Pelodiscus sinensis: one gene and its partners. The protein of the gene in region 2 interacts with the protein of the main gene of each other region in a biochemical or structural test. Links are inferred from orthologs where the notes say so. Each region holds a gene or a part of one and is shown on either strand. Other genes may lie near its edges.

Evidence for each region.
Region 1: of the proteins of SMAD1 (region 2) and ACVRL1, one has a biochemical effect on the other in vitro, tested with the Homo sapiens proteins (2 studies listed by BioGRID). The link is inferred for Pelodiscus sinensis from reciprocal best matches to the Homo sapiens genes SMAD1 and ACVRL1.
Region 3: the proteins of SMAD1 (region 2) and SMURF2 form a complex in vitro, tested with the Homo sapiens proteins (2 studies listed by BioGRID and IntAct, with this or other methods). The link is inferred for Pelodiscus sinensis from reciprocal best matches to the Homo sapiens genes SMAD1 and SMURF2.

What each region holds. Positions count from the first base shown.
Region 1 is NC_134729.1:5,532,083-5,539,312, reverse strand, and holds the start of ACVRL1 (activin receptor type-1-like), read left to right. Parts: upstream 1-4,132; 5' UTR 4,133-4,770; intron 4,771-7,230. UniProt on the Homo sapiens protein: Type I receptor for TGF-beta family ligands BMP9/GDF2 and BMP10 and important regulator of normal blood vessel development. On ligand binding, forms a receptor complex consisting of two type II and two type I transmembrane serine/threonine kinases.
Region 2 is NC_134715.1:51,249,387-51,257,463, reverse strand, and holds the start of SMAD1 (mothers against decapentaplegic homolog 1), read right to left. Parts: upstream 3,027-8,077; 5' UTR 2,862-3,026; intron 1-2,861. UniProt on the Homo sapiens protein: Transcriptional modulator that plays a role in various cellular processes, including embryonic development, cell differentiation, and tissue homeostasis.
Region 3 is NC_134730.1:20,923,896-20,931,808, forward strand, and holds the start of SMURF2 (E3 ubiquitin-protein ligase SMURF2), read right to left. Parts: upstream 3,097-7,913; 5' UTR 2,777-3,096; coding exon 2,725-2,776; intron 1-2,724. UniProt on the Homo sapiens protein: E3 ubiquitin-protein ligase which accepts ubiquitin from an E2 ubiquitin-conjugating enzyme in the form of a thioester and then directly transfers the ubiquitin to targeted substrates.

The DNA of each region.
Region 1 (7,230 bases), on a different chromosome or scaffold from region 2:
CTGCTTCCCGCCGGACGGTTCCCCACCCCACTTCCCCCCACCCAGCTAGTTCTGCTCCCCCCGACCTCCTCCCTGCCAGCCCTGCTCCCCACCGGTCGGTTCCCCCCAATCTCCCCCAGCCAGCCCCGCTCCCCCCGACCTCCTCCCTGCCAGCCCTGCTCCCCACCGGTTGGTTCCCCCTGATCTACCCCAGCAAGCCCCACTCCCCCCGACCTCCTCACGTCCAGCCCTGCTCCCCACCGGTCGGTTCCCCCCGATCTCCCCCGGCCAGCCCCGCTCCCCCCGACCTCCTCACGTCCAGCCCTGCTCCCTACCGGCCAGTTCCCCTCGATATCCCCCAACCAGCCCTTCTCCCCCTGACCTCCTCACATCCAGCCCTGCTCCCCCCGACCTCCTCCCTGCCAGCTCTGCTTCCCGCCGGATGGTTCCCTCCGATCTCCCCTGGCCAGCCCCGCTCCCCCCGACCTCCTCCCTGCCAGCTCTGCTTCCCACTGGATGGTTCCCCCCACTCCCCCCGACCTTCTCACAACCAGCCCTGCTCCCCCCGACCTCCTCACAACCAACCCTGCTCCCCCCGACCTCCTCACATCCAGCTCTGCTCCCCACCAGTCGGTTCCCCCCAACCTCCTCCCTGCCAGCCCTGCTCCCCACCGGCCGGTTCCCCTCGATCTCCCGCGCCAGCCCTGCTCCTCCCCCCCCCCCATCTGAGATCAGGTGTATCTGGTATTTTTGTCAAAATCATCTAGAAACGCTACTTACAGCCCCCAGCCCTGCCCCCCCTCCCACCCCTGCGGCCTGACTCCTGAACACCCCACAGCTCCCTGTCCAGGGCCCCCTATGCACTCTATGCAAGTGTCCTCTGTTCTGGAGGTACCTCGATGGCCACCCTAGTGTGTGTGCATCTCTGCTGTCCACGGCTCCAATGTGTATCCTAGGCCCTGGGCTTCTCCCAGCAGCGGGGGAGTCTCCAAAGAGAGGCTGGGTTTGGAGGCAGAGTGTAGCAGAAATTTGGCCCTGAGGCCCTGCCCTGATGCAATTTCCAACCATTCTCAGGTGGCAGGGCTCAGGGTGCTCCATTTACCAGCTGAGAGATGGCAGTGGAGCAGAGCAGGCTGCTGGGTCACTCTGCTTTATGCCGCAGTGAAAGGGGGAGCCCCCGACCCCTGCTGCCCCCTGCACCAGCCCCCCAGTAATTTCTTGTGTCGTATCTCTCGGGGGAGAGGGTGCAATGTGGGTGGGAGGGCAGGGGTGGAACAGGGTCAGGAAGAGGCGTGGCCTGACTCCTGAACACCCCACATCTCCCTGTCCCCCTCTGCCCCCGCCCCCCTCGTGCTGGCCCCATCCGGATGGTCTATCTGGCTGTGGGCATGTTGGCCTGATGCCTTTGAAGAGGCTTTCTCTATTTATATACATTCCTCCAGCAAACAATGAGTTAACGAGCCCTGAACTCGACCTTTTTAAAAAAGAATCCAGTGGTGCTATATAAGAGCCAAACTCCTCTCTCCCAGAGGGCCGCATGGAGGAGGGGGAGCGGCTCCAGCCATTGGCTGGTTAGAACCAGAGTCAAGAATTGCTTCCTTACGCCGCCCAGACTGTGCTGTCCTTTCTCATGGTCTGAACCTTCCCCCCACCCCCCCCCCAGCCCCCCATTCCCTTTGGGCCTTCTAGCCCGAGACCCCCAGGCCGGCCGGCGCTGAGCTTCCCGTTAGCTGGCGGGCCGTCCCCGTGACTCCGTCGGATTTCCCGGGCGCTCCACGTTGAGCGAGGTAGGACACGATGCGCCTGCCGCCCTGGGACACGGGCGGGCGAGGAACAGCCCTGGGAGGCACTGCTCTCATCAGGCTGCTGGGATTTCAGAGCAGGAGCAAAGCTAGTGCATGAGATTGGAGAACCAGAGGCGGCCCAGGCAGCTTTCTGCAGGCCCAGCCTTCCTCTCCCCCTCAGCACAGCAGCGGCCCCGTTTATTGCACAAATTCCAGGGACTCTGGGGCCACAAATCCGGCCCCCCCCAACCTGCAAGGAACTGAAAGCGCCACATGGTTACCCACAGGCAAGAGTCTTTCACAGACAAAGAGTCAAATGTGGCCATTTGCCTGTGACCGAAACAGCAGGTTCTGAAAACCAGAATGAAACGGGATCTGGAAAAACGAGCGGGCAGGGCCAAACAGGCAACTGATGCATCAAAGTTTTAGTTACAGGGGGATAAGGGCAGTAGATGGGAGTCGGGACCCTCGGGTTCTGTTCCTCGCTCTGGGAGCAATGGCGGCCTAGTGGCTACAGCAAGCAGGATGCCTGGGTTCTGGTCCCAGCACCGCGTGACTGTAAGTAAGCATCTTTCCCTCCGCTATCAAGGTGTGGGCCCAGGATATCGCTGTAGAGATCACATCTCTGCAGCTCAGTTTTGTGTCTACACTGGGACCTAGCACAGCTCTCTCCACTGTGTTATACCAGGCTGTTCCACGGTCACACGGGAGGGAGAGCCAGTGACTTCATTACAAAACAGGAGGCGATGCCGGTCCAGCCGTGGCCCCCCGCCCCCTGCTCCTACCCCAATGGATGAGCTACGAGGCCAGGATGGAGCAGTCGGGGAGAGGCCCGAGGTGGGAGGAGAGATCCCTGAATGGGAGAGAGGAAGAGTGAGAAGCAGCTGACTGAGAATGACCCAGAAAAATGAATTTAAAAAGGCTAAAGGGGAAGTGGTGTTTCCGGTCCCCCTCGAGCCCCTGCCAGCTGTGCCAGCCACCCACACAAGCCTGGTGCTACAGAGCAACTTCACAGACATTTGTGGTTAGGCCGGAAGTAGCTCTCCCCCCTCCCCCCGTGGGAATCTGAACACCAGGGTTAACATGTGACTCTTGCAAAAGGGGCCCTGGAGTCTTTGGGACTAGGCTTCAGCATCCCCTGTGAACGACAGCACGCCCAGCCCTAATGGCGTCTGGGGGCAGCATTCTCATACGGGCAGAGCACCTGCACTTCTGCAGCGCAACGCCCCCTAGCCCTGCCCTGGGGCACTGGGAGAGCACCCCTGCACTTTTGTGCAGCACAGCGCCCCCTAGGGATCATTGGGGTCCGCATTGACCGTGAGGGCAGAGCGCCTCCTGCTGAGTCACTTGCAGCACAGCGCCCCCTAGGGATCATTGGGGTCCGCATTGACCGTGAGGGCAGAGCGCCTCCTGCTGAGTCACTTGCAGCACAGCGCCCCCTAGGGATCATTGGGGTCCGCATTGACCGTGAGGGCAGAGCGCCTCCTGCTGAGTCACTTGCAGCACAGCGCCCCCTAGGGATCATTGGGGTCCGCATTGACCGTGAGGGCAGAGCGCCTCCTGCTGAGTCACTTGCAGCACAGCGCCCCCTAGGGATCATTGGGGTCCGCATTGACCGTGAGGGCAGAGCGCCCTCTGCTGAGTCACTTGCAGCACAGCGCCCCCTAGCCCTGCCCTACGGCACTGGGCTCAGCACAGAGGCTATGTCTAGACTGCAAGCCTCTTTCGAAAAAGAGCATCTAGACTACTAGTACTTTTGAAAAAGCAAGCTGCTTTCTCGAAGGAGGGCACCGAGGCAGTCTGGATGCTCTCTTTCGAAAGAGCACAGTTTGCATGACATAGCGCCTTTTTTCGAAAAAAGGCATTATTCTTCGTAAAACGAGGCTTTTCACAGCCGAAAAAACTGCCGCGTTCTTTCCATTTACGCGGCGGCAGTCTAGACGCAGGGGAAGGTTTTTCGAAAAAAGGCCACTTTTTTCAAAAAAACCCTGCAGTCTAGAGTGACAGGAGCAGAGCTTCTCACCAATACGTTGCTACTAACACGTTCCCCAGTTGCCTCCCAGCCCCACTCACAAGTCACCCCTACACTGGCCCCACCTGAGCTACCAGAATCGCTCCCAGAATGCCCTCGCCTGCTCCCACTCCGGCCAAGTAAACTAAGTCAGCTCGATTGCTGCCAAACCCTAGGCTCCTGGCTGCTCCCTGAGGAGGCTGGGTTCAGACACAGGTCCCAGAGCTGGTTTTGACGGGAGACTGAGGCAGGGCCGGGAACACGGCCTAGCCACACACCCTGGCGGGGGGGGGGGGGGGGAGTTGTTTGGCCGGGGCCTGGGAGGGAGGGAGAACAATCGTGATGGAGCAGGGGCCGGTGTGTGCAGGAGGAAGGGAGCTAGGCTGTGGCTGTAGGCTCAGCAATAGGAAATGCTTTATTAGCTGGGAGTGGTGGAGAAAAGCCAGGCAGGAAGAGGCAGTAATAAGAAACATTTTTTGACTTCTCCCACATCCAGAACTCAGAGATCTTGCCAATCCGCCGCGTTTGGGCCACAGGGAGAGAGAGGCCAGCCCCTGGGACTGGGGAGGGAAGCTAGAGGCACACTCCCCTCTCGCCAACTAGGGCAGGCGACAGCCGCTGGAGTAACCACCAGAGCCAAAGCTCTGCCGGGCCAGCGTCCCTTTGCAAATCTGGCAAGGTTGCTGCGTGGAGAGGGGAGGACGGAGGCTGACCCGTGAATCTGCTTCAGGCGGAAGCTCGCAGCGCCTGGGGGGAGCTGGAACCGTGTCCGTCGAAGCCTGGGATCCAGACTCTGTAACCGAAGGAGAATTGCCTCTGGCCCCGGGAACCGGTCAGCACCGCCCCACTGGCAGCAGACAGACAGCCGGATAGAAGACGCCCGGATCTGGGTCAGGCAGGGTTCCGTTGCGTCTCCAGAGGCGCTGCAGAGCCTGCCCGCCCACACGCAGCCTCTCCTCTGGGCCGGTGCTGTCAATGAGAGGGAAGGAGCCGTAGGTGAGTTGGAATGAACTGCTCTCTGGGGGTGTCGGGCTATTCTCAGGTTGCTACCAAAAGCGGAACGCGTGCAACTAAATGGGCCGCTCCTCAGCTCTCGGGAGAGCGCTGCTCGCTCACAGCAGCTGCCCCATATTGTAGCCCCGGCCTCACCCCCTTTGTTTTGTCCCCAGTTGGCTTCCTGCATCAGACTGTTCTTTGGGTCCCCCTTTCTCCACGATGGAGGAGAGACTCTCCGCTTTAGACTCAGATCCACTTTCAGGCACTGCTTGCTTCTGAGATATGCTCTGTGGCTTGAAGATAAATCAGAGTAACCACATTGAAGCCTGCAGGACTTGCACTGCTGCGCTTAGAATCAGGCCTTGTCTCAGTTGCCATCAGTGGGATAGCTCTGGATTGACACCATGGTAACTGAAGTCAGAAACGGGCCCTGAGTCCCTTTTCAGAAGATGACACACTATGTAAACGACCATGATAGGCTGTGCAATGGATCTAGCGCGGGACAAGTCGTGCAATAAAATCTTGCTGCCAGACGGTAGGATTGGAGAGTAGCAAATGTTTTGCAGCTATTTCCAAAAGGCGTTAGGAGAAATGTAGCAAAGTGCAGACTCAATTCTGGTAAATTAGTTGAGATGATGGAATTACAAAGAACTGGGAAATGATTGATATGACAGAGTCGAAGCACCCCGGCTTCTGAAAAGGAAAACTCTGTTCACCAAGCTATTCAAATTCCTGACCGTTTTCTATAAAAGAGCAGACAAAGGAGAACCAATTGACACGATTCATTTAGACTTTCCAAACGGCCTTTTACAAAGTTCCTCATAAGAGGTTACTGAGGCAGCTCAGTAGCCCAGATATCAGAGGCAAAGGGCTATCTTGGGTCAGAAATTGGGTAAGAGATGGAAAAACAAAGATTACAAAGAGATGGTCACCAAAGCAAGTTACCAGCAGGGGCTATTTTGGAGCTGATGTTATTTAATTATATTAATTACTGATCTGGGAACGAAGGAAACCAGGCAGAGTGCACAATTTGCAGAGAACACAAAATGATTTAGGTTAGGCAAGACCGTGTGGAGCTCCAGAGGGACCTAATCAAGTTGAGGGAACGGGCAACATGGTAGCAAATGAAATTCAGCCTAGGATAGAACGCCTCCCCTGCACAGAATTCCTAAACTGCTCAGGAAAGAAAGTCAGGTAGCTCGGCCTTAGCGTAATGTCCCGCCATGTGGAGAAAGCAAATGGAACACTGGGGTGTGCAAGGAAGGGGCTGTTGCTGTCCTGTAGCTGGATAGGATATTCGGGGCTGGAAGGGGGCACGCATCCCAGGAGGGGGTCAGAGAGCTTTGCAGCGTTTGTTGTTTCTAAAAAGCTTCCAGGCTCGAAAAAAATCCCTTTCCCGTTCTCGGCACAAACCAAAAATCAGCCTGGTCCTCCTGTTTCTCTCCCACAGAGAATTTAAGAGAAAATAAACATGTGGGTGGGGAGGGGGCGTCTGGGCTAATTTTCTTTTTTTTTTTTTAAATAACAAAACCTGTTTCTCTGATTTCTAGTGTAGCAACTGCCTGGAGCACAGGGTAGCACAGAGCCCGTGCTGTGCAACACGGCTGCTCAAGGCATCTGCTGGCTCTGGGCACGTTGCACCAGGCATGCCAATGTTTCTGGAACAAATGCCGGGGCAGCCTCTAGGGCTCCGTTCAGCTCCGAAATGGGCCTGAACTAGACCTCGGAGCCAGGTGAATCGGATCTCTGGCTCCAACTCTGCATTGTCTGCAGCCCTAGGGATACAGCATGTGCCTTGGAGCACACCAGTGACCAGCTCCCGAAAGCGTCAGTGGTAGATGTCACTGCCCAGTGCCCCCGGCCAGCGCTGTACTGATGGGCCGGAGGGAGGAGGGGAATCTCTGCAGGTCTCCGATTTAGGTTCGAAGCCCATTGAACTAAACAGAAAAACTCCCACTGAGTTCAGTGGGCTTTTGATCTAGCAACCCATGATCTAGCAACAAATCTAGCCTGGTTTGTCGAGGGCTGAGCACTCCCCCGGCTGCCTCTGACCTCAGGGGGAACCTCGGCACCTCCAACACCAGCCGAAAGCAGCTGTGTCCAGGAAACTGCTTACATCTGCTGCCTCCTGGCACAGGGCTGACACGGGTTGCGGGCCATGCGCTCATGTGCGCTGGGAGCTACTGATTCTCAGGGAAGAAAAATAAGGAACCAGGTCATGCGATAAACAAAAGAGGCTTTTCTGCTCAGGGTTTGCTGGGCGCTAACCCTAGATCTCGCCCTGGTGCGCCTGGGACTGCACAAACCGTGCATCTCATTTGACTGGGGGGGACGGGGATTGCTTTGTTGAGGAGTCTTGTTCCTGCTTTGGTTTCGCATCAGTTCATTAAACTGTTCTCCAGTGTGGCCCACATGGTGCAAAGGGAGCTAGTAGCTCAGGTGAGGAAGGGTGTTGGAAGA
Region 2 (8,077 bases):
CATTTCAACAGATATGCTCAGAGTCACTACTTCTGATAAAGATCACTAGTAGACTGGAAAAAGTGTTAAACTGTTTGCCTGCTTTCATCACTTTGCTGTTGTATTGTGAAGTAAAGCCTGATCATATTTGAACCTCAAACTGTATATAATTCAGCGTTTCCTCCAATCCAATAAGAGATATGGTCATTCCCCATTTCAGGTGCTAGTGACTGTGGAAAAGTGGTTAATCAGGACACATTTGTGCTTCAAAATTTCAATTTTGATTTCTATTCGGTGTTTTAAGTTACACATATAGTGCTCTTTAACTTCTCCAGCACCCATTTTTGAAGCATAACACCACACCACACATGGTTGCTTTGGTGCCCCCATAATGTGGTTTAATTATGATGACTGAACTAATAGGCTCACATCACAGACTTTTACAGGTTGACCCCATGTCATTCTGATGTATCATTTTGCACCAGTTCAGTGCTGTAAATCAATTTAAGATCTCCAGCAGGCTGAAAAGGCTGGTAATGATGCTTTCTCTGCAGTCCCTGAGGACTGCACATTATACACAACTTACATTATTTATAAAGCTGAGATGATGCCTCCATTAGCCTTGTAAGACTACAGAAGTGAAGGCTTTTATGTACACACACAACTTGAACTAGAATATGACAACATCCCAACTTATTACTCAGATGTTTTTTAAAACATGGCTTCAAAATTTCAGTATTTAACTTGCACACGTAGAGAGGCTTCGAATTTAAGGAGAGTCTGTAAAAATCATTCCAGTAATTACGAACTGGAGCAGCAATGTTATCACCTGTCTCTATGTTTCATCCCTTTATTTACTAGTTTGAATTGAACACTAATTTACCATCAACTCTCAAAGATGTGAATTGATAGCCACTACTTACACAGAAACTGCTTATCTAGTTTCTTTTCTCTATGCTATTGGATCAGACGACCTTAAAAAAAATACATAAAATGAAAAGTAGACAATAGCATAAAGAAAAAAAGTGTATTTGATTACATATCAATGAAATGGAGGGGGTCAAAATAAAGCAAGGACAAATCCCCATCCTTAGAGTAACCTGATCTTTCCTTGAACTGATCCTTATAGGTTCCTGGATCACCCACCTCCAAAGAAATCTCTGTCAAGATCCTAGTTACAGTGTGAAATTAACTACAAATGAGAGACTGAACAGCCACACAGGAATATCAAATTAATTGGTTAAGTATTTTTCATCTAAAAATTAAAAAAAAAAACTAAAGTCAGCCACTGTAAAGAAATGACAAAAAATGAAGTATTTAGTATTTATAAAAGGTGTAATGAGAATCTTCTACCAACTGCCCAGCACAGAACTCCTATACAGATTGATATTTTTATGTTGCAAGTTGGAACTGGAAGCAAGCCTTCAATACATCTAATGCAGTCATAGACAAGATTAAAATCAGTTTTAACAGCAAGTTTCTTTACAGATTTACTCTCCTTGTTTCACACACTGCATGAAGACATAAAGAAAAGTGGTCTTTCCGGGTTGTTATACTCAGTTCGAAGTTTCATGTTGTGTAATGTACAAAAATCACACACAAGCTAAGTCTTACATACATGGAAGTAGTCAGAGGAGGCAAGGGATGCCAGGTTTTACATGCAGACCTGTCAAACATACCCTTTTACCTAAAATGCTCCATCTGCCAAAAATAAGGATGGATAGGTTTGTTTTTATTTGAAATAATGAAAAAAGGAAAATTAGATGTTTCTGACCATTAAATGCTCCACCCAAGAAAAGCAGAATTGCACCTATTCCATGATGCATTGGTTATTTTTCATAAATATACATACACAAAAAACCCTCTTCCTAAAAGTAAACTATAAATAAGCATACATTCTATGAGCAAACTGCAAAACCAGCCTGCACATCTTCTGTAATTAGATTAACTACTAACAAAAGGACAAATACTACAGTTCTTAATCAAAACTCGGATTGTCTTCATTAAAAACATTAGGGTCTGGCCCAGCTACTTTAAAAAGCACAACTGAACACTTGTACACCGGCATATCGTAGTAAAATTTAAAGATACATATGTAGCTGGATAATCTCATCCTGTCAAACTATAAGTAAATTGAAAATCACGTAGAAGAAAAATCACATGCAGTGAAACCGCTTAATAATCAGAAGAATTTTAAGTGAACTTTCCTTGACCTCTAAACAAATCTTGTTGCAAAAAGTTAAATCCATTAGGAGGAACAAAGACTTGGATTAGCCAAGTCATTAGAGAAATGCCTTCCTCAAATAAAAACAAAGGGCATTTGCCTTGTGTTAGCCAAAGCTTTTCAGAAACTGTTGCAAGTTTCTCCCACTTGGCTTTGAACACAATGGAGCCAGGACAAAAGTCTGAAGCAGCAGGATTTTCTAATGAGAAGGGGAAAAAAGGGAGAGAGGAAGAGGGAAGGAGAGAGCTTTTGGTAGGGCTATTTTCTCTTCCTCCAGTCCAACAAAGAAACTCCCCAGAAACTTTAAACCAAACAAGGCAGCAAAGCAGAAAGCAAAGAAGTCACAGGTTTCTCTCCGGGCTCCCGCAGAGACGCCATCATGCTGGAGAAAAGCCCCTGTCCCCCCCGCAAAAAAAAATCCGTCCCTCCTTGCTCCGTGGTGAAAAGCAGCCCCGACCTGAGCCAGAGACTGGGAATAGCCCGGGGGTGGGGGAAACAAGGCAAAGCGCAGCCACCATTCAAACCACTTCCCTGGCTGCAGCAAGCCCTGCCCGGCCTGGGCCAGCCAGCAAGCCCTAGGACGCGGCGGCGGGGGAAGAAGGGTCCCCGCCCAGGCAGCGGCTTGGGAGAAACCGGCAAAGAAACGCGAAGTTGTTACCGGCGGCGGAGCGGGAAGAAGAGGCGCTGCTGCTGCTGCTGCTCTTACGGTTCCAGCCGCCAGGCAGCCCCGCACTCGCTCTGCCTCTGCGCCTGGATTGATCTGGTCTCACTGGCGTCAGGCAGTCGGAGCCGCCCAGCCTCCACTTACCCCACTGCCAATATAACACACACACCAGCCGGGCGAGGGATCCTCTCCAAATTCCCACCCCCGCCAGCAGCTGCAGCTGCCTTGGGGCCCCTCTGGGTCGTGCTCCTCCTGCATGGCTGGATTAATTTGGTGTGTTAGGAACCGGCTCCTAGGGTTCCGAAATCCGGAACGTGGCTTCTTAAAAAGCACGGGTTAAAAAAAAGTCATATATTTGTGCTACTCTTTTATTTTCCATCGAGGTCTTATGGGTACACACACTTGCTAGTTTTCACATGTCCCCCTGCACACAGGAAGGCTGGTAACTTTTGCATTTATTATTAATTATTATTATTATTTTATTAAAGTTGTTCTCACCACAGTCTCGGGTTCCCAGGAGTTGTGCAATGTCCTCTATGCTCGGGCAGAGATTCCCCGTAGACCTCATGCGGGAAGCAGAGGAAAGTTGGGGAGAGAGAAAGGAGACTGAGCAGCTTGTCTACACGGAGAAATCTCCTGCCATAAATTCAATGTGTGTAATTATCCCACTATTGTAATTTCCCCATGGAAATAAGACCTAAATATTGTAGATTAGCCTGATTTTTAAATACAGATTAATTAACAAATAACAAGGTTTAAAGGTCCTGATGCTGCCTATACTTTTGCACAGGAGTAATTTTACACTTGTGAGGAGTAGGTGTAATTTTTACACCTGTCCTGGATTACTCACATATATAGAGTTATTCACGGGTGTCAGGCCATGTCTACATTATGGGTGCTACAGAAGCATCCCTACAGGGCCACAAACACACCACTGTAAAACCACAGTGTAGACACAGCATAAGGGGAGAGAACACCTCCTCCCTAAGCAACAGTAGCTACGCTGACAGAAACATTCTTGCATCAGTCTACAGCAGGGATTAGGTCACCGAAGCTACCAGTGGGGAGAGAACACCTTCTCCCTAAGCAACAGTAGCTAGGCTGACAGAAACATTCTTGCATCAGTCTACAGCAGGGATTAGGTCACCGAAGCTACCAGTGGTCAGGTGTATAATGATTTTTCACACCACTGAGTGCCTTAGCTATGTCAACCTACATTTTAAGTGCTGACCAGGCCTCTGTATCTGCAGGCACTTCACCTAATTGAGTTGCCCAAGATGGCAAAAGAACCCTGTGGGAGAGGTAGAAACAGAACCTCTAGTTGTCTGGTTCCTAGACCTCTGCCACAAAAATCACTTAATCGGATGTACTTTTACCATGAAAGCACATGAGCCTATACCTTTGTTAGTGTAAGGTGCCACAAGAGTACTCATTATTAAAGTTACAGACTCACACATCTACTCCTCTGAAATATTTAAAGGAATGCCACTTTTCCAAATATGATAAGTGTTCTCAGTTTCTGGGATTCTTACTGTGAGATCAGAATTTACATGCATATTACGATGGATGATTTCTAGTTAAAAATCAGCCTGGCTGCAGATGTTTCATTAGGCTTATTCCACAGACTTCTGTTACACATGGGGGCTTCTACTGATGACAACATTGTGCTGAACTCCCTAGTTTTGCTTCACGTTATCTTTGCCAAATGTTTGCCAGGTGGATAGCCAACAATCCACAGCATTCTCATGAAGTGTTGTTCCATATTGACCAATGGAGAACTTTTTACCTGAATCAAATTAGCTGAAACTATTTTCTTATCAGTCATTTTGTATTTTGCACAGACCAATATATAAATGAATGGAAGTGGTGCATTTTCTAAGAGGAAAAGGGCATTTTTCTCTCTTCAGAAATGAGAATGGATTTTTCACAATTGTAGCTGGAGTTCTGCAATTTCACATTTGATTTCTGCCTGCAGCTTAGTAGCAAAACAATACTGGTAACATTACTGCCATCTCAACCCCCTATGACAACCCACTCCATCATTTATATAGGTTTAAAAAGTTAGAATAGGTGAGGAAGAGATATTAATGAATGTCACACAGACCACCTGCCTGTTACCATTAGTGAATATGAAAGAGGAAAGGCAAGCAACTATGTAAATCTGCTTGGGGAGGATGTCCCATATATGTCAGATAGCATGGAAGAAGGCCACAAAAGAGCTTGTAAGATGCTACCATAACTAGGAGAGCAAAGGGATATAAGAGATTAGATATATAAGGTGAAGCTAAACTATGAAGAGCCTTGAAGTTAAGGGCCACAGATGGTACTAAGACTGACCAGCTTTACTATCTTTTACCAGAAAGCTTTTGATCACAGTATGGAAGTCCACCTGCGTGGATTGTATTGCATAAAATGAACCTATCATTGTTGCCACATTTGCTACTATACCAACAAGAAAAAGGACCTTTAAGGAGGCCCACTGCACTCCTGAACATTCAATTTCTTCCTGAACTAGCCCACTATGATTAAGTAAGATTTATATAGAATAAACATGGAACTGATAACTTTATAAGATTATTAAACACATTTTTCTCTGTTATATTAAATAATACTTCCTCAGCAAATCTAACTGGAGATGACAAAGAGGTCTTTGATCGGCTTGAGTAATCATTCTTCTTTTCTACTGATGGGATTTGGACCAAAATTCATTACTTGTATAAGATTAATGTACCCAATCACAGCAGCCAAGATCCTTATTAATGGTTATAATTGCAAAAGTCTGCAGCTGAAACATAGTACTACACAGAGCTAACCCTTATCTCTCTTACTGTTTTCACTTATTATAGACTCTCTGATGCAAAGAATTCATTTCAGCAATGGTATTTTTGGTAAAGGAATAAGCAATATGGAACAGTAGATTTTATTAGATATGTTGAAGATATATAAATGTTTGCCAGTAAACCTATAGTGTTCCTAGCCAACATATTGAAGCAGTGTAACATTTTTAGAGAATTTTCTGGATTCAAAATGAATTATAATAAATCAGAGCCTCTCCCTCTAGACTTTGCCCAGGGCCATTCAGAGACCTTTGAAGATAATTTAACTTGGTTTTATTCACCACTTTAATTAGAAATATTGGAGTCCATGTAGCCAAAGATTCTTTGGACCTTTTTAAAGTAAGTGATCTCCCTTTAGCCACTCAACTTAAAAAATGTACATAACAAACCTAAACCTATTATTGGTTGTTTGGAAGACACCACAGTATTAAACTTTACTCCCATCTTAATTACCACTTTCCAGTTCTTATAGTCTCTGTTCCAACTGCGTCTCATTAACAAAACTGCCGTGCAGTATATTGAAATTCATGTACCCTCGTGTCAGATACAAACTTGAAGATTTTTTTGTTTATCAGAAGAAACTGACAATGGTTTGGCAACACAGGATTTTGGGTCCATGAGTTGACTAGTAAAGATATGGCTCTGAATATATCCCATATAAATATATGGCTTTCCTTCTACAATGTATTTATACCTTCATTAATCTAATTAACCCACTTATCAAATGATAAAAAGCACTGTGTAAGAGGTATGCATTATTATTTATTACTATTAATATTACTCTTTTCTAAACAAAGTTATTTCCATTTTGGAATGTATGTATGAATCATTTATTCATCAGGCATAACAGCAGGATTACGTGATTAGTGAGTGGAAGGTGAAATGAACAAATTCTAAAGTAGAATTGGAGATTAACTTTATTAATCTGAGCATTGGATAAGGGGCGCTGTTCCTGGCAGAAGGTACTATATAGAAAAAACCCCACAAGTGGGACATTTCTCTCTTATATGGTTAGACACCAAGGAAAGCCATTATGCTTCTGTTGCTCATGACCCAGCTGGATACACATAGAAATCCTGGCAAAATACTCATAATTAAGCCCTACATGTACAGCCACTCCCCGACTTACGAACACACTGACTTACGACCATCCATACTTACGATCAACCTCCCATTAACCCCATTATAATATTTTTCGAGTTGAGAACCATGTACGTCAAGTTTTTCGAACAGTGCAGGCAGCACGTTTAAGGGTATTTCCGACTTACGACCAAATCGAGTTACGACCAGGTGTTTGGAACGTAAACTGTTCGTAAGTTGGGGACTGCCTGTAATTAAAGATTGTATTATAGGCTGTTTCTAGACTGGCCAGTTTTTCCGGAAAATCAGCCGCTTTTCTGGAAAAACTTGCCAGCTGTCTACACTGGCCACTTGAATTTCCACAAAAGCACTGACTTCCTACTATAAAAATCAGTGCTTTTTGCGGAAATACTATGCTGCTCCCATTCGTGCAAAAGTCCCTTTTGCGCAAAAGGGCCAGTGTAGACAGCTGAGATTTGTTTTCCGCAAAAAAGCCGCAATCACGAAAATGGCGATCGGGGCTTTTTTGCGGAAAAGCGTGTCTAGATTGGCCATGGTCGCTTTTCCGCAAAAAGTGCTTTTGCGGAAAAGCGTCCGAGCCAATCTAGACACTCTGTTCCGAAAATGCTTTTAACGGAAAACTTTTCCGTTAAAAGCATTTCCGGAAAATCATGCCAGTCTAGACATAGCCATAGTGTATATACACCAGGGGGATGAATTAAGGCTGCTCAAGACAAGCTAATTCTAGCATTTTGCAATTGTTGAGTATGTTCAGTAGTTGATCTTGTGACTTTAAGAAAGTTACTTAATTATAGGTTTAGGGGTTTTGTTTCGGTGTATAAACAATACATAATGTATAGATGAAATTTGCATTTAGTATTATTCTACTTGCCTCTCAACAGTTTGTATTCTGTGTAATAAAAGAAATCAACATCCAAATATAGAAAAACATCCAAATATTGCAGTTGGTATTCTATTGTTTAACACCATGGTTAATTTTTATCACAATTAATTTTTGAGTTAATCATGAGTTAACTGTGACTAATTAAAGAGTTGTAATGACATTGCATTTTTACACAAGACTCTTGCCTCAGAAGTACTCAAAATGGATGGTGTTTCAAATAATGAGCAGCTATTCAATATTTTGCATTCTTCTTGTTTAATGTGTGGACCTGGTCCTTATGTATTGCATACTGTTCAAGCCCTGCTGTGAAGACAGAACTATTAATTTCCTCATGGGCTGTCTATAGCAGTGGTGCACAACCTCTTTTCAACACTTCCCCTCCCATAGCT
Region 3 (7,913 bases), on a different chromosome or scaffold from region 2:
CTCCTGCTTGCTGTGCAGGGCAGGGCAAGGAGAGGAGGGGGCGCTGATCTCTGGGTGCTTCCTCACCCACCCTATATTCTAGCTCCACAGAATGGAGGAGGGGGCACAACAGGGCTTGGGATGGAGGGAGTTTGCTGGCTGCTTTTGAGAGTGGTGCAGGGCCAGGACAAAGGTGAGCCTGCCTTAGCCTCACTGCACTACCACCCAGGAGCCACCTGAGGTAAGCAGTGTCCAGCTAGAGCTAGCTCTGAGCCCCTACTCCAGGTCATGAACCCTTCCTGCACCCCAAGCCCTTGCTCTAGCCCTGAGCCCCTGGATCCAAACTCCCTTACAGAGTCTGTACCCCCACTCCCTGCCCTAGGCTCAGCTCAGAGCCCTTCTCACACGCCAAATCCTTTAGCCCAGGACCAGAGCAGGTGCCCCATCTCTGCCACTGCCTGATGAAAAGGAAGGAGAATGGGAGAGAGAGGGGGGAGTGATCAGGGGCAGGACATTGGAGAAGGGGCACAAAGAAGGGGGGCTATCTGGATTTGAGGTAGATCCTGGATTGCACTTAAATTCAAAAAAGTGATCTCATGCTTAAAAAGGTTGGAGACCAGTGGTCTAGAGTTTTCCATTAGGCCAAGGCAGGATTATAGAGCATTTTTTTAAACTCACCTTAGTTTCTCTGAGCTCAGTCAAAAAGCAAGGAGCCACAGACACAAAAGTGCAGAACAGTATTTTTAAACTAACACTGTCCCACATATCAGTCCAGCTCCACTCATTTCCAAAGTTTATTTCTAAGGAGTTCACCACCTGGGCAGTATCCTGGCCCTGCATAAAAACCCCTTTTACAAGATTAATCTAAATAAGTTCCAAAATAGAATGTAAGCAATTATAAGAAAAAAATCTACATGATCTAGAAAAAAGCCATTTTTCTCTACTTCGAATTTTAAAAAATTAAAATGCGGTAACTTTAATTTTTTTATTAGAAGTTAACTGAAAATACTGCACATACCATTAAAATTACATAATTTAAAAAATGCAGCAACTATTTTTAGACTTTTTTGAAAGAACTAATAGCTGTGCCTTACAAAATAAGTTAACTAGGTTCAATAAGTTGTTGGAAGACAAACTATTTTTAATACTTTTCTTAAATCTTGTATTTTCATATACTGAAGTCACAATTTAGAGTACAAAATGTGTTTTCTCAATTTGCTGTTTCCTCGCAAGTCTTCAGTGATTATTTTTCAAAGGCAGACAAGCTTTATTCATATTTATAAGTGTTTCTCCATATTTATCTACTTACATTGCCCTCATCACTACAAAAGGAGCTCATTCCAAGTATTCAGAAACAGATAATGTTTTCCTTCCTTTCCAGAAGACAGACTGAAATAGTTTACTTTTACATTTATGGTGTAAACTAAACATTTTTAAAGGCCATGGGTTTTTTAAGGGCTTTTTTCCTACAGTATGATGGCCTATATCCTATGAATTGTTTACAATCTCAACTGAGGAAACTGGCTTGAAAACAGCAACACAAAAGATCAAAACAAAGGGCCTGATAGTTCGACGATTACACAGAGAAGACGGAGAGGGTGAGAAACAACCTAAGGTACAATGAGTGGTCCTGTGGCACCTTAGTGACTAGCAAAAAAAATATAATATCATCATCTGACAAAGTGGGTCTTACCTACAAAAGCTCATAATACTATACATTTGTTAGCCACAGGACTACTCATTGTTTGTTAAAAAAAAAAAACTTAGAAAGCAACGAATAGTCCTGCAGCACCTTAGAGACTAACAAAAAATGTAGATGGGATCATGTCTTTTATGGACACAATCCACCCATGATCCCATCTACATTTTAGTTAGTCTCTAAGGTGCTGCAGGACTATGTGTTGTTGTTAAGTTTTTTTTCTATTACAGATTAACAGCGACCCCTCTGAAACATTGTTGTTCAAGTAACAACACACACAGCTACTCCTCTGAGACAGCCTAAGGTACCTACCAAAAAGTTACAATGGCCTCCCTAAATACTACAACATATTCAACAACAACAACAGAGAGAGTGGTCCGGCATTTTACAGAGAAATACATCTAATGAGCTCAGGTTTAATCGAGATTCTGATTGAGGGAGGCGAGGGGCTCCACTACCTCCACCTCACCCCACACACACTGCCCAGGGCTTCACCTCTCCTCCTAACCCAGGCGTGTTTACTACCCTAGAGTAAACAATCCTATCGTGGCCACAGCAACGTGTCCCACGGGCGACGGGCAAAACCGTGGCCCACGGACCCCCCTGCTGAGAGGAGGGAGGCAGGGAGTTTACTTCTTGTTTCCCCTGAGGCCTCTCCGTGCCCCAGGTTCAATCTCAAAGACACATGGAGGGAGCTCGGTCCCACCCACCCCTCCAGCTGGACTTGCGGGGCTTAGACAACAGAGAAAGGGGCTTCCCCGGGGTCTCTCCTTTCACACCCCCACTCCCTTCGCAGCCACACTCGCCCGCTCTGCCCCCCCCCCAGCTCCCTCACCCCAAATCTTCACCCCCCCCCCACCTTAGCCACGACGGCCCCCGCCCAATTCGACCCCTACCCTCCTGAACCACCGACCCCCTTCTCCCCACCAGGCTCCCCCTCAGCCGCCTCCCCCCTGCCCGTCTCCTCACAAAGCCCGGCGCTTGGCCCCCCCAGCCGCCCGCTCTCCGCCACCCTCTCCCGCCTTCCGTCCCCGGCCCCTCCTCACCTGTCAGTCGCAGCTTGACGGGCCCGTTCCTCCGGGCCCCCTGGTTGGACATGTCTCCGGCCGCGGCTGGGGCTCGGCGCTGCCTTCGCCCGGGCTGCCCCTGCCGCTGGGGCCGGGTAGGAAGCGGGGAGGCGCTAATGGAGTCGGGCTGGGCGCTCAGGGCAGCGGCGGCGGCGGCCGCCGGACGAAGAGAAGCCCGGATGTGCCCAGCGTCGCCATAAGCGGGGCCAGCGCCGAGGAGGAGGCGCCGCCGCCGCCTTCCCCCGCCCCCTGCCCGGGGCCCTGGCGGCGAGCACAACAAAGCCCGGGACAGCGCGTTACCGCGGCGGCAGCCGCCTCCCTTCCTCCGGGACGGAGCCTGCTCGCCGCTTCGCGCCCAGTGGGGGGTGGGGGCCCCCGTCCCAGTCCCCGCTGCTCTCCTGCCCCTGCGCTCCTCCTCAGGACCTCACTGCCCCGGGGGAAGGGCTGCGTGTCCCGACTGTGTCCCCCCCCCCCCACTGGGATGCCCCCAGGGCCTCACTGCCCCGGGGGGGGGAGGCGGTGTCTGTCCCCTAAGAGCCCCCCCCCGGGAATGCCTCCATGTCCTCACTGCCCCTGGGGGAAGGGGTGCCTATCCCCATTGTGTGCCCCCCCCACTGGGATGCCCCCAGGGCCTCACTGCCCCGGGGGGGGGGGAGGCGGTGTCTGTCCCCTAAGTGCCCCCCCGAATGCCTCCATGTCCTCACTGCCCTGGGGGGAAGGGGTGCCTATCCCCATTGTGTGCCCCCCACTGGGATGCCCCCAGGGCCTCACTGCCCCTGGGGGAAAGGTGGTGTCTGTCCCCTAAGAGCCCCCCCCCCCGGGAATGCCTCCATGTCCTCACTACCCCGGCGGGGGAAAGCCGGGGTCTGTCCCCTAAGTCCCCCCCCCCCAGAATGCCTCCATGTCCTCACTGCCCCAGCAGGAAGGCGATGTCTGTCCCCTAAGTGCCCCCACCCCGAATGCCTCCATGTCCTCACTGCCCCGGGGGGGAAGGGGTGCCTATCCCCATTGTGTGTCCCCCACTGGAATGCCCCCAGGGCCTCACTGCCACTGAGGGATAGGGGATGTCTGTCCCCACTGTGTGCCCCCTCCTCCTGGAATGCCCTCATGTCCTCACTGCCCCTGGGGGAAGGGGGTGCCCCCACTTCAAGGGAGTGTCTGTCCATTACTGCCTCCCCCCCCACTGGGATGCCCCCAGGCCCTCACCAGTGTTCCCTCTAATTTTTTCCACCCCTGAGCTGAGTGAATTTTCTGATGTGTGCCACTCAATACATCGTCTTCATATTGGTGCACATCACAAAATTAATGTGGTGGGAGTGGAGTCAAGGGGTTCTGAGTGCAGGAGGGACCACTGGGCTGGGGCAGATGATTGGGGGTGCAAGGGTTCTAGCTGGGGATACAGACTCTGGGGTAAGGCTGGGGGTGTTGGGTTTGGGATGCAGGAGGGGAAAAGACTAGGAGTTGGTGTGCAGGAGGGAGTATAGGTTCTGGCTTGGGCGTGCAGGCTTTGGGATGGGCCAGGGAATGAGGAGTTTAGGGTGAAGGAGGGGGACAACAGTTTTGGGGAAGAGCTGAGAGTTGGTGTGCAGGAGGGGGTGCAGGCTCTGGCCTGGGGGTGTGGGCTGTGGGATGGGTCTGGGGGTGAGTGGTTTGGGGTGCAGGAGAGTGCTCAGGATTGAGGGGAGTCAAGGGGGGACCAAGGTTTAGGGCTCAAGCTTACCTGGGCTGCTCCTGCTGGGAACAATGAGGAGTGGACCCTTTCCCCTGCTCACCTCAGTGCTGGTGTCAGCGGTGAGGGTCCCCAAATGCTGACCTGAGAGACTCGTATCTCATAATGGGCCAAATAGCTTGGGAAAATATAGGCATAAATCATTTTATTGTGAGTCAAGGGGTAGAAAAAAGAGTAAGCAATTCTTACTGTGAGGTGAGATACAGCTTTATATACTGAAAAATCAAAGATTCAAAAGTAAAACAACTTTATGGGATACAAGGTTGGAGCTAGATCGTGATACCCGTTTCACCTAAATTTATATCCTGTTTTGCTAGTAGGATGAGACTACTGATGGAAGGTACTTTTCTAACCCATCTTACAACTCAGAAAATCCACTATTTATGTGTGATTGAGTTGCAATAGAAAAGTCAGGGATATTCCTACACCCCTCTGAAATTCAAAAGACTGCTATAGCTACATCCCAATTCTATTTAATGGTGTAATGCTTCTGTCTTTAGGCTCCCAAAGAATTCCAGGCCTTTCAACACACTCAACAGCAGGGGCACTCTAAAGCAGGGAGAGGATTTAAGGGAGGGTATCTCAATGAACAGCCGAAGAGGCAACTTTCAAAAGTGTCCTAAATTAATGAGACAATCCTGGGACCAACATGACTATAACTACATTGCATACCCTAAATTAAGGAGAACATTTAAGTAGCTAAGAATGAGCAAGGTACTCCCACTTAAAATTATGATTTGGAGATGCCATTGTAACATTTTCATGAAGACTGAGATAGTGAGGAAACTACTGGCTTTGTAAGCAGACCGCTACTTATATCTGATACTGTTTCTGATTCTCACCCAACTAGTTTCATTATATAGGTCCTATGTAGCTCAGGCACTTAGCACTGTACAACCTGTAAAACTAGAATACTAATGAAAACATAATATTCAGTACTAAAAATCCAGACAAAACTATATCCTCAATACTCAATATATACTTTTCCTGATAAGTTGTATTGCTTTGTACACCTATACAAACTGAATGACCTCTCCATTATCTGGCTCAATGCAAGAGATTCCACTCCAACATTTCTGCTACAACTACATCCTATATAATAGCTGGTTTAATTAGAAGACTACATTTTTGCCTATGAGGTGAATGTTTTGGCTTTTTATTTTTTAATTTAATCAATTTAAGAATTTTATTTTTCCTTAGGGTTTCATTCAGTACACACTTATCATAGTTCTGGGTTGTACTGGACCTAAAGAAACCACCCAACTTTGGAGTCCCATATTGTTCTTCCATTTGAGGAGGACAGATGGCAGAACTCCCAGTCCAGGGTATAAGAAAATGAGATCAGAAATTGAATCTAGACAGACTTCCACATGGTAGTGCAGAATACTGAGCCACTGGTTTATCCATTATGTTAAACTAGTCTAATGTTTTTAGTATTTCATTTCCTTTTGTTTATTTTTAAAAGTAGTATTGTAAGAATATGTAGGGCAGAGAAGGAAGATCATACTGGCATAACATCAATGTCTGACGTACCTATATTTAAAATAAAACCTTCAATTGATAATATGCTGTATAGCACTATGCAGAAGCTACATAAATGTGTATTAGCAAATACATTTGTCATATTTCTTCAGGGCAAAGATTGTTTCTTTCATGTTTGGACAATGCCTTAGACATTGTACCACTATAATATTCATAATCTATTTAAATTCACATAGGATCTTGCTATCTGCAAAGTTTAATTTCAGAATCAAGTGTTCATTAAAAACAAACAAAAACTCTATCTGCTTTATTTATGCACTAGTTTGTAACTGTTTTTGCCAAAACCTACAAGATTTTGCTAGAGAATGTCCCTTGCCCCTCCTTTCAACACAGAATTCATGATTTGCAATTCTCACTGTAAATTATTCTTGAACATGGCTTTTTGATATATCTGGGAATTGTGCAAGATCTTTTGGAAGAGCTTTTTAAGCCCTAGAGAGGCTATCAGAAGAATTATACATTGTACCTGGATATTGTATAAGATACTGCTATTGACATAATTCCACTGGGTCATTCTTACCTCAATAAAACCATTATGAGTCTTCCCTTTACACTGTTTGGAATGAGTGGTTCTTTGTGTTATTAAAATTTTTATGAAAGGTGCACATATTCATATTACAGCTGCTTTTCAACATTAAATAACTAAATATTTTTCTGAAACCAAAGAACATGGGCAGAGTTATTGTTTGAGAAACTCATTCTTAAAGAAATATAAAAGCTTTTTAATACTGGTCAAAGAATCTGAAAACACCAAAAATATTTTTATCCCTCTTTTCAGACAATCGGTGGTCTTGTTTTTCACAGGTGCTGGGCATCTCTGATCTAAAGCCCATTGAAGTCAATTAGCTTCTTTTCATTTATTTCTATGGGTTTTGGATCAAGCCACTAGTAGTTAGCTTCAAAACACACTGAAATTCTGCTTCCCTAGGATCTCACACAGGCTGAAGAGCCAACAGTAGGAAAGGAGTCTAAGGCCTAGTTTCACAAAGGTACTTGGGGCATCTAAATACCAGATTTGGCTCCACTGTGATCTGCAAAACCCACATATAACTCTTAAGAAACCTAAACTTACTCAGCACCTACTTTTCCAGGATAAAAGTTCCTTAGGCACCTACTTTTCTGCCTCTAGCTATGTGCTGTTCTACCTTACTCTAAGGCTACGTCTAGATTGCATCCCTTTTTCATAAAAGGGATGCAAATTAGACGTATCGCAATTGCTAATGAAGCGGATTTTTAAATCTCCCCCGCTTCATTAGCATAAAAATGGCTGCCGCTTTTTTTCGGCACAGAGTTTTGCCGGAAAAAAGCACCAGTCTAGATGCGGATCTTTCGGAAAATAAAGCCTTTTCTGAAAGATCCTTTATCCCTTATTTTAAGAGGAATAAGGGATCTTTCGGAAAAGGCTTTATTTTCTGAAAGATCCGTGTCTAGACTGGTGCTTTTTTCCAGCAAAACTCCGTGCTGAAAAAAAGCGGCAGCCATTTTTATGCTAACGAAGCGGGGGAGATTTAAATCCCCACTTCATTAGCAATTGCGATACGTCTAATTTGCATCCCTTTTACGAAAAAGGGATGCAATCTAGACGTAGCCTAAGGCTATGTCTACACAGTAGCATTATTTCGGAATAACTTGCATTATTCCAAAATAACATAGTCCTCGTCTATACAGAAAGCAGTTATTTTGACATGTCAAAATAATGTCGAGCTGGAGGACTTCTTACTCCAACTCCTGTAACCCTCATTTTACAAAGAGTAAGGGAAGCTGGAGGAAGAGCGCTCTAACTCAAGACTTCCTGCTGTGTAGACAGCGCCAAAGGCAAAATAAGCTATTTCAACTTAAGCTACAATTGACGTAGCTCAAGTTGCGTAGCTTATTTCTGCTTTAGCCATGCTATGTA